Linked DNA regions of Kluyveromyces lactis. The protein of the gene in region 2 interacts with the protein of the main gene of each other region in a pairwise test. Links are inferred from orthologs where the notes say so. Each region holds a gene or a part of one and is shown on either strand. Other genes may lie near its edges.

What was found.
Region 1: the proteins of YME1 (region 2) and MGR1 interact in binary tests that used the Saccharomyces cerevisiae proteins (3 or more experiments, as listed by UniProt). The link is inferred for Kluyveromyces lactis from reciprocal best matches to the Saccharomyces cerevisiae genes YME1 and MGR1.

Annotation. Positions count from the first base shown.
Region 1 is NC_006039.1:81,422-84,588, forward strand, and holds MGR1 (Mgr1p), read right to left. Parts: upstream 1,887-3,167; coding exon 738-1,886; downstream 1-737. Other genes in the region: EMC1 (Emc1p), read right to left, coding at 1-404; protein disulfide isomerase PDI1, read right to left, coding at 2,289-3,167. UniProt on the Saccharomyces cerevisiae protein: Component of the mitochondrial inner membrane i-AAA protease supercomplex required for mitochondrial inner membrane protein turnover. Together with MGR3, functions in an adapter complex that targets substrates to the i-AAA protease for degradation.
Region 2 is NC_006041.1:606,587-611,067, forward strand, and holds YME1 (i-AAA protease YME1), read right to left. Parts: upstream 2,911-4,481; coding exon 601-2,910; downstream 1-600. Other genes in the region: TFIIH complex kinase subunit CCL1, read left to right, coding at 1-176; condensin subunit BRN1, read right to left, coding at 3,338-4,481. UniProt on the Saccharomyces cerevisiae protein: Catalytic subunit of the mitochondrial inner membrane i-AAA protease supercomplex required for mitochondrial inner membrane protein turnover. The protease is probably ATP-dependent. Important to maintain the integrity of the mitochondrial compartment.

The DNA.
Region 1 (3,167 bases), on a different chromosome or scaffold from region 2:
GAAATATTAAAACGCAGTGTATTGTTATTCAAGGTAACAGATTGAATGTCTAGTTTCCGACATTCAACTTGGCCTGAATGAGTTGACTTAGGGAAACCTGTCAAACTATCCAAAACTTGACCAGTATTCAAGTGTATATTTCCATCCACAACTTTCATGGCAGCAACAGAGGCATCCTGAACGAACCTTTCAACTATATTTCCTGAAGCCGCATCCAAAAGTGAAATTACAGGGATGCCAGTGGGAGTCTCCCCTAAGACCACGAATGACGAGTCTGATTTGTCAATACATTTGATATCACCTAGGTTTTCGATTTGCCAATCCACGTGAAACGCTTCATCATTAAATACAGCCCCTGTGGATTTAAGCAGAAGTACCCACAACGTAAATATAAGGGTTAACATGATTTGATTCCGTTATGGCAAGATCGAAGGTCCAGTGTATAAACTTTAACTAATTCTTTACTTGGACACTAGTTTAGGCTTATTTTATTCGAAGGCTATTGTTGGTTTCTTTGAAATAATAATAATAATCGTAGTAAAAAATGGTTACTACAGTGGGAAATATGTCGTAGCTTTCGTAACACAAACAAGGAAACAAAAAAAAGGCAGTATGAGAGTCTCGATATAGCTATATATCGATTAAATTTGTACAACGATTCTTATATACAGTTTGAAATCATGAATTGAGTCAGTTATTTTTTCTGTTAGTGTAATACAAACGTGTATGATATTCAATTATGGCTTTCTCTCATCTTCGCTATTCTCTATGGAAGTAACATGCTCTGAATCTTTGAGTCTTTTCTGGTGTTCATAATAGTCTTCATTAAAAATGACCGAAGGAAAGAACTTAATGCTTAATGCGGTGTCTAATGCTAAATTTGTCCAAGGATTGTAAATAGCCCATATTTCAGTTAGTGGGATATCATTTGGTGATTCTGTATCATGATGCAAGAGAACTTTTCTAATTGCATATATGTCCTGCACTTCTTGATTTGTTCTGATAGCCCGTGCCGGAGCATGAGCCATCAATGTATGTATTCTCTGTCTATTGCGCTTGTTTTCTTCTTCTAATTTTACCAATTGAGAATTTATCTTATCGTTCTTCTTTTGACGTCTGAGATTGTTGAGAAAATCAGTCATATTCAGGTAGTATTCTAGTTTGTCTAAGAATTCAGAGAATGACTGTGGTTTATAATCCAACGGTCCGAACCATTTAGTTACCAAATTCTCGGCCTGCGCTTGTGCTCTCGCTACGGCGATACTTTGCTTCACCTCTGGTAAGTTAAGGGAAATTGACTGTCCTGATAATTCATCCTTGGCCTTGAATTTCGTTGAATCAACTCCCTCGTGATAGTATTTGACGATGTCATTGAAAAACTGCTTTTCACGAACTGATTTTGCTTCTTCTACCCAGGGATCGTATTTGAGAAGGGTCAATCTTGAAACCTCTAACATAGACTGCGAGAGTATTAGAGTCCCCGCTAATAAATAAGTAACACGTCTAATAGTTCTAAATCTCTCTGAATACCAAAAACCGGTACGTGTACCAACTCGAATATTGAAAGAATGTGTTCCCCCGAATTGAACAGGAATATGTCTAGTCATGTACATATCACCGTGTGTGGTACTGAATCTATTCAAACTAGGAAAATCGGCAATATCTCGTTTCACCCATTTCTTTCCCAATTTTCTAAACCTTTGCATTAGAAATAACCCAAGTCCTGTTTGAATTGCAACTAATGACCACAATCCTGTTGTGTTATCCGAACTAGGCACTAATGGTCCCCATAGTTTCAATCCCAGACTTGGTCTTGTATAAAACTTGGGGTCATTGCCAACAGGCTCAGAATTATCTGACTGAGTTCCGGATGTATATATAGCCATCTACTTCGCAATTCTGTCCTTGCTGCTTGTTCACTTTGTTTGAACCTTTAGTAATCCGATACGTGCTCTTCGAGTTGTCTTATGTTGGCCCTCGTCCCGGTTGGAAAATGTGATTGGCAACGTAGTTGGTGATACTTTTTCGGAGTTAAGTCACGTGATTAAATTTTATTGCTTGAAATAAAGATGAATTCAAACCCATTTAGAGACGATATGCAACACATGACGCCGAGAAGGAAGAATAGCATGAAGGGTTTTCATAAAGTATATGCAATACCGGATAAATCTATTATTCAAAGGTATACTACATATGTATAAAATATCGATACCAACTTTTGTTGATGTTCGAGGTTAGAACTTTTACAAATAAGAGGTAGTAAAATGGGTTACGAGATATGGGTTTATTTACAATTCATCTTGCTCTAGTTCAGAATCTTCTTCAGCCACTTCTTCAACTTCCTTCGCCTTTTGTGCTTCTTCTTCTTCTTGTTTCTTCTTCTCCACTTCAACTAAGTATTCTTCGTAAAGGGCAAGGCCATCAACACCGTGAGAACCGTTTTCCTTGATGAAGGCTAGGAAAGCTTCGGCAGTTCTTGGTCCCTCGAAAAGAATTGGTTCAGTTTCTTCACCGGCTGGCCACAAGTATAAGACTGGGAAACCTGGGATTTCGACAGATTGAACGTCATTGGCAGTAGCATCGATCTTGGCAATCAAGACCTTATCTTTCAATTCGTCATTTTCATGAGCAAATTCAGCCATGCTTTCATAAGTTGGTGCCAACTTCTTACAATGACCACACCATGGAGCGTAGTACTCAACTAAAACATCCTTCTTTGGATCACGGACAATTTCTTCATGGTTTTTACCAACAATCTTAAAGACAGAGTTTTCTTGGATTTCTGGAATTTCTTCACTTTTAACAATAGGTTCCGCCTTACCTTCCAAGAAATCTTCAACAAACTTGGTGATTTCTTCAGTGGCTAAAGTGATTGGTTTTTCCAAAGCCGCGAATTCTTCATCAGCCAATTGTGGCAAACCGTACTTCAAGTCCTTAATGGTGTCATGGATGGCAAACAATGGGAATTGCTGCTTTTGGTTCAAGTTCTCGGCGTGTCTACCGAATTTGGAAGCATCCAAACCAGCAAAGTTGACCTTACCTCTGAATTTCTTAGCCAAGTCAACAAAGTGAGATTCGTATTCTTCACGTTCTTCTGGGGAAGTGTAGAAGAAGTATGCCAAAGGCACCTTGACAGCCATATAAGCTTGGTAAGTTTCACCGTTAAC
Region 2 (4,481 bases):
CGATGATTTTGAACGTTGAAACACTTTCCAAAGAAGAGGCAACTAAAATTGACGCAAAATTGCATTACTGCCAAAATCCAATGCTGCTGGTAGATAGGATGCGCAGACAAAAGCAACAACGTGATAGCTCCGCTGAGCTTACAACGGAACCGGATTCTAAAAAGTTGAAAGTGTAGTAGTATACAAGTTAAGTAGAGTTCTCAATGAAAACTTCCTAAAGTTCATTCATTCATACGAATAATTGTTATACAAATATGCATATATACTTGCGAAGAGAACTATTATCTTCATTTATAGTCTTTCGACAGGGGTAAAGTAGTGACTGCCGCTTCTTCAAGAAGGCCGGCCAATGTTATATTTACAAGACACGTCAATGCTTTTATGCTTTATTATGTGAAAATGCTATGATCTGTAATTTCATATAACACTTTTAAAATTAACCACTCAATTTGGGTATTCTGTACAAGTTGCAACATAACCATTGTAGTGGGGTTCTTCAAACAGGTCAAATGCAGATACAGAAAGATGGTCGGTGAAATGTTCAATCAATGGTGTAATGCTAGGAGTCCGTATCCAATGACGTTTTAGTTCTGCGTCTGATCATGCTTTAATCAGTACCGGAATTTTTGATTTATCACCGCCGATTTCCTTACGATCATCGCTGTCTGGTCCTTCAACCACCGTAGTAGTGGCCATTTTCATTTTATTGATAGGTTCTCCTTTGCATACCTTCTGAATTTCGGTACTATCTAATGTTTCGTATTCCATTAATCCTTGAGCTAATCTATGCAATTCCTTTTCCCTTTCTGCTAATAAGGCTCTCGTCCTATCTTCTGAAGCTTTCAAAAGTTCAAGTACTTCGTTATCAGCAACGTCACGAATTTTTCCAGACCATGAGTCCCACTTATCAGCCAAATTTACTGGTCCGACTTGTTCACTCATACCGTACTGAGTAACCATTGCTCTAGCAGTGTTGGTAGCATTTTGTAAATCCGAACCACAACCACTGGTAGTATTTTCCTTACCATAAATCAGTTCTTCTGCAATCTTACCACCCATGCACACATCTAACCTAGCTAGACATTCTTTCTTAGTGATGTCCACCTTATCCATTTCAGGAAGTTGGAAAGTGATACCTAATGCCCTGCCTCTTGGCAAGATAGTTGCTTTGTATAATGGCGTTGCCCCGGCAGTGTACAGTGCCATCAATGCATGCCCGGCTTCATGATAAGCGGTGGCTCTTTTAGTAGCTTCAGTGAGAACCATAGTTTTCCTTTCAGCACCCATCAAGATTTTATCCTTTGCCCATTCAAAGTGCTGCATATCGACAGCAATAGCATTTTTCTGACAAGCGTATACGGCGGCTTGGTTAACTAAATTCATCAACTCAGCACCAGAAAGACCTGGGGTTCCTCTTGCAATGATAGTTGGGTCCACATCAGGAGCAACAGTAACCTTCTTCATATGATGTCTCAAAATGTCAGCACGCCCGCGAACATCAGGTAAGTCAACATTGACGACCTTATCGAATCTACCTGGTCTTGTCAAAGCCTTATCCAATGATTCTGGGAAGTTAGTGGCACCGATGATAATTATACCGCTTGTTTGGGAAAACCCATCCAATTCAACCAACAATTGATTCAAAGTTTGTTTTGCGTAAGCTTGATCTTTGGGATTACGCTTACCTCCAATAGCATCCAATTCATCGATAAAGATAATAGCAGGGGCACGAGCGCGGGCCTGTGCAAACAACTCTCTGATACGCTTGGCACCAACACCTACATAAACTTCGTCAAACTCTGACCCTGACATGAAGAAAAAGTCAACACCAGCTTCACCGGCGGTGGCTCTTGCCAATAAAGTCTTACCAGTACCTGGAGGTCCGGTCAATAGAACACCTTTAGGTAACTTACCACCCAAGGATTCGTATTTGGTAGGATCTTTTAAGAAATCGACAATTTCCTCCAATTCAGCTCTAGCTTCGTCACAACCCCGCACGTCATCAAATCTTACATTAGTCTTTGCAACATCCACAGATTTATCGGCGACTTCATTTGTCTTGAAGAGGGTTGAATGTTCTGTAATGTATTTGAAACCTTCAGTCAAACCGTATGTAACTGCACCAAATACGATCAACCATTTTAACCATCTGGAAACAATAGAGAATGTGGATTCAGTGACAACAACATGTAGAGGTTCCTTTTTGGATCCCATGTACGGATTATAGATGCCAGAATAACCAGATGAAACACCTCCAGTAACTTGGGCAGCAGCACCGTTAGCCGATGCAGCGGAAGAAGCACCAGATGAAGCCACGGCAGGAGGAATACTTCCAGCTGGAGCAGTCGTCAACAAAGTCTGCCTCACAGACTCAGCATCAGCGTGCCTACCGATCCTTTGTAAAGCTTCCATATACAAAGCCATACATTCAGGCGATGAAGTAATACCAGGAGTTTCAAATCTCGAAACAACGTATTGCGGATAGTTCGATTTCAAGAGAAGTTTATAGAACTCCGCTTGCGCACTTGGGTTAGACAAATCTTTATTAGCTTGCTGTTCCTTAGTAGCCAAAACAGCGTGTGATACAGGTCCATTTGCCGGATCAATATCACTCGAATTAATCCCGTTTAGTTGCTTGGGCTGCTGAACATTTTCTGCACCACTTGTTGCCCCATTTACAGTGTTCTTCGAGTCCTCCGAATGCTGAGAACCTGTAACACCATTATGATCCTTGCCTGTTTGGTTCTTGTCCGAATATAATCTGTTTTGTAGCACGCTGCCTGTAAGAAAATGCTTTCTATGCAAAGTCCTTAAAATTGGCCCTGTCAAGACAGGGGCTTGACGAATCAACACTCGAGAAGCGTTCTTGGCGCACAAACCAGAAACACCAATCAACACCGGAAGCGTCATCTAGCCTTTAACACTTAATAAGTACACCGTAAAAGTGATTTTTTCAAAGTACCTGAGCTGGTATATACAACTTTTTCGTTGCTTCCTTTGTTCACTATTCTTAAAAGCCTTTTGCCTCTTTCGTTGCCTTCTAAATGACCCGAATAATCATAGCCATATATATCCTCATTCTAAAGAAAATAAAAACCTTTAAATTTGACAAATGCTCAATTTACTCAAATTTCAACATTATCAACAAATTCTTGGAAGCTGATGAACGCTCGTCCGGGTGGCGTTGCATTTCATTAGGGAGAAACTCTACGTAACAGCTGAAATCCGATTCGAAAGTGCCAGAAAAATAAAAAGGAACGAGGTCTTTTTAGACGAACATCACGTGATCAATACTCTTCTATATACAAACAAAATAATTACGTCGGCTATAGTTCGGCTACTCCTTGCCAATAATTGCGTCTGCAATCTTTTCAGGGAACCGAATGTCCAAGTCTTGGTAGTTTGTAGTGTCGTTAATCGTAAATCCATACTCATTAGCGAGGTGAAGAAGGCAGATAAAGCAGAAACTGGTTGAGAGATCCTTTTTGGCACTTGAAGTGTACATGTTCACGATATCGTGAGCGATATCGGTGAATTTCAAGTCATAGCCCTCTGCTTTTGTTGATATTTCTGCTGATATATCCTGCTTTCCCTGCTTCTCTTCGGTCAGATGTGCTTCTGATTCGATATCATTCTGAGTAGTTTCCTCATTCCGAGTAGTTTCCCCATTTTGTTCGTCTGTCTTCAGTACATGTAAACGTTGCCATATTGACTTCCACACATTATTCTTCAATTTTCTCACATCTACCTTTTTGGAGGTTCTGGAGTAGGTCATTTTATTATTTGCAACTAATCCTTGCGTGTTTACGAAATCTTCTTTTGTATCCATATCCAAATCTTCATCTTCGAAGGCTTGGTTGAAGTCAATGCCGTTATCCTCTTCAAACGATGGATTGGTTGATCTTTCTATCTGTGTGTCATCTTGCTTGTGCTCTTCTTCCCTTTCATGCAGTTGATAGTTTTCAGCCCAAAAGCGTTCGTCTGCAATCTCCGGAATATTACTCACTTCTTTGATTTCGGTATCATCAAATTTCAGGGACCCAGGTAACCTGGCTTTACTGATCCTCCTGTGTGAAAAGAAACTCATCTTCTGCTCGGGCTTAATGAAGAGCCTTGTGATTTTATCCGTTGTGAATTTATAGTCGTCCGGTAGTAAGAAATGTGAATCATTTGTTCTTTGTTTCACTGATAGATCAATGAACCCCTTTTTATTTGCAAATATTTCTTCTTCAATGTTATCATTCAGATCCAAGAAATCAATCTCAAACTGTTTTTTGGGTACCTTCTTTTCAACTGCTGGTTCATGATTCCCATCGGCTTCAGTTGGCTGCTGTGGTTTGGCCACAGACTCCTTGCTAAGTTTATCCTTGATGTTTCGTACCTTCCAGTGTTCTCTACCCCTCCAATTCTGACCTATCGCTGCGTCAAAGTAAGATAGTAACTCTTGATCGAGTACGCTCGCATCGCCATACGATTTGTCA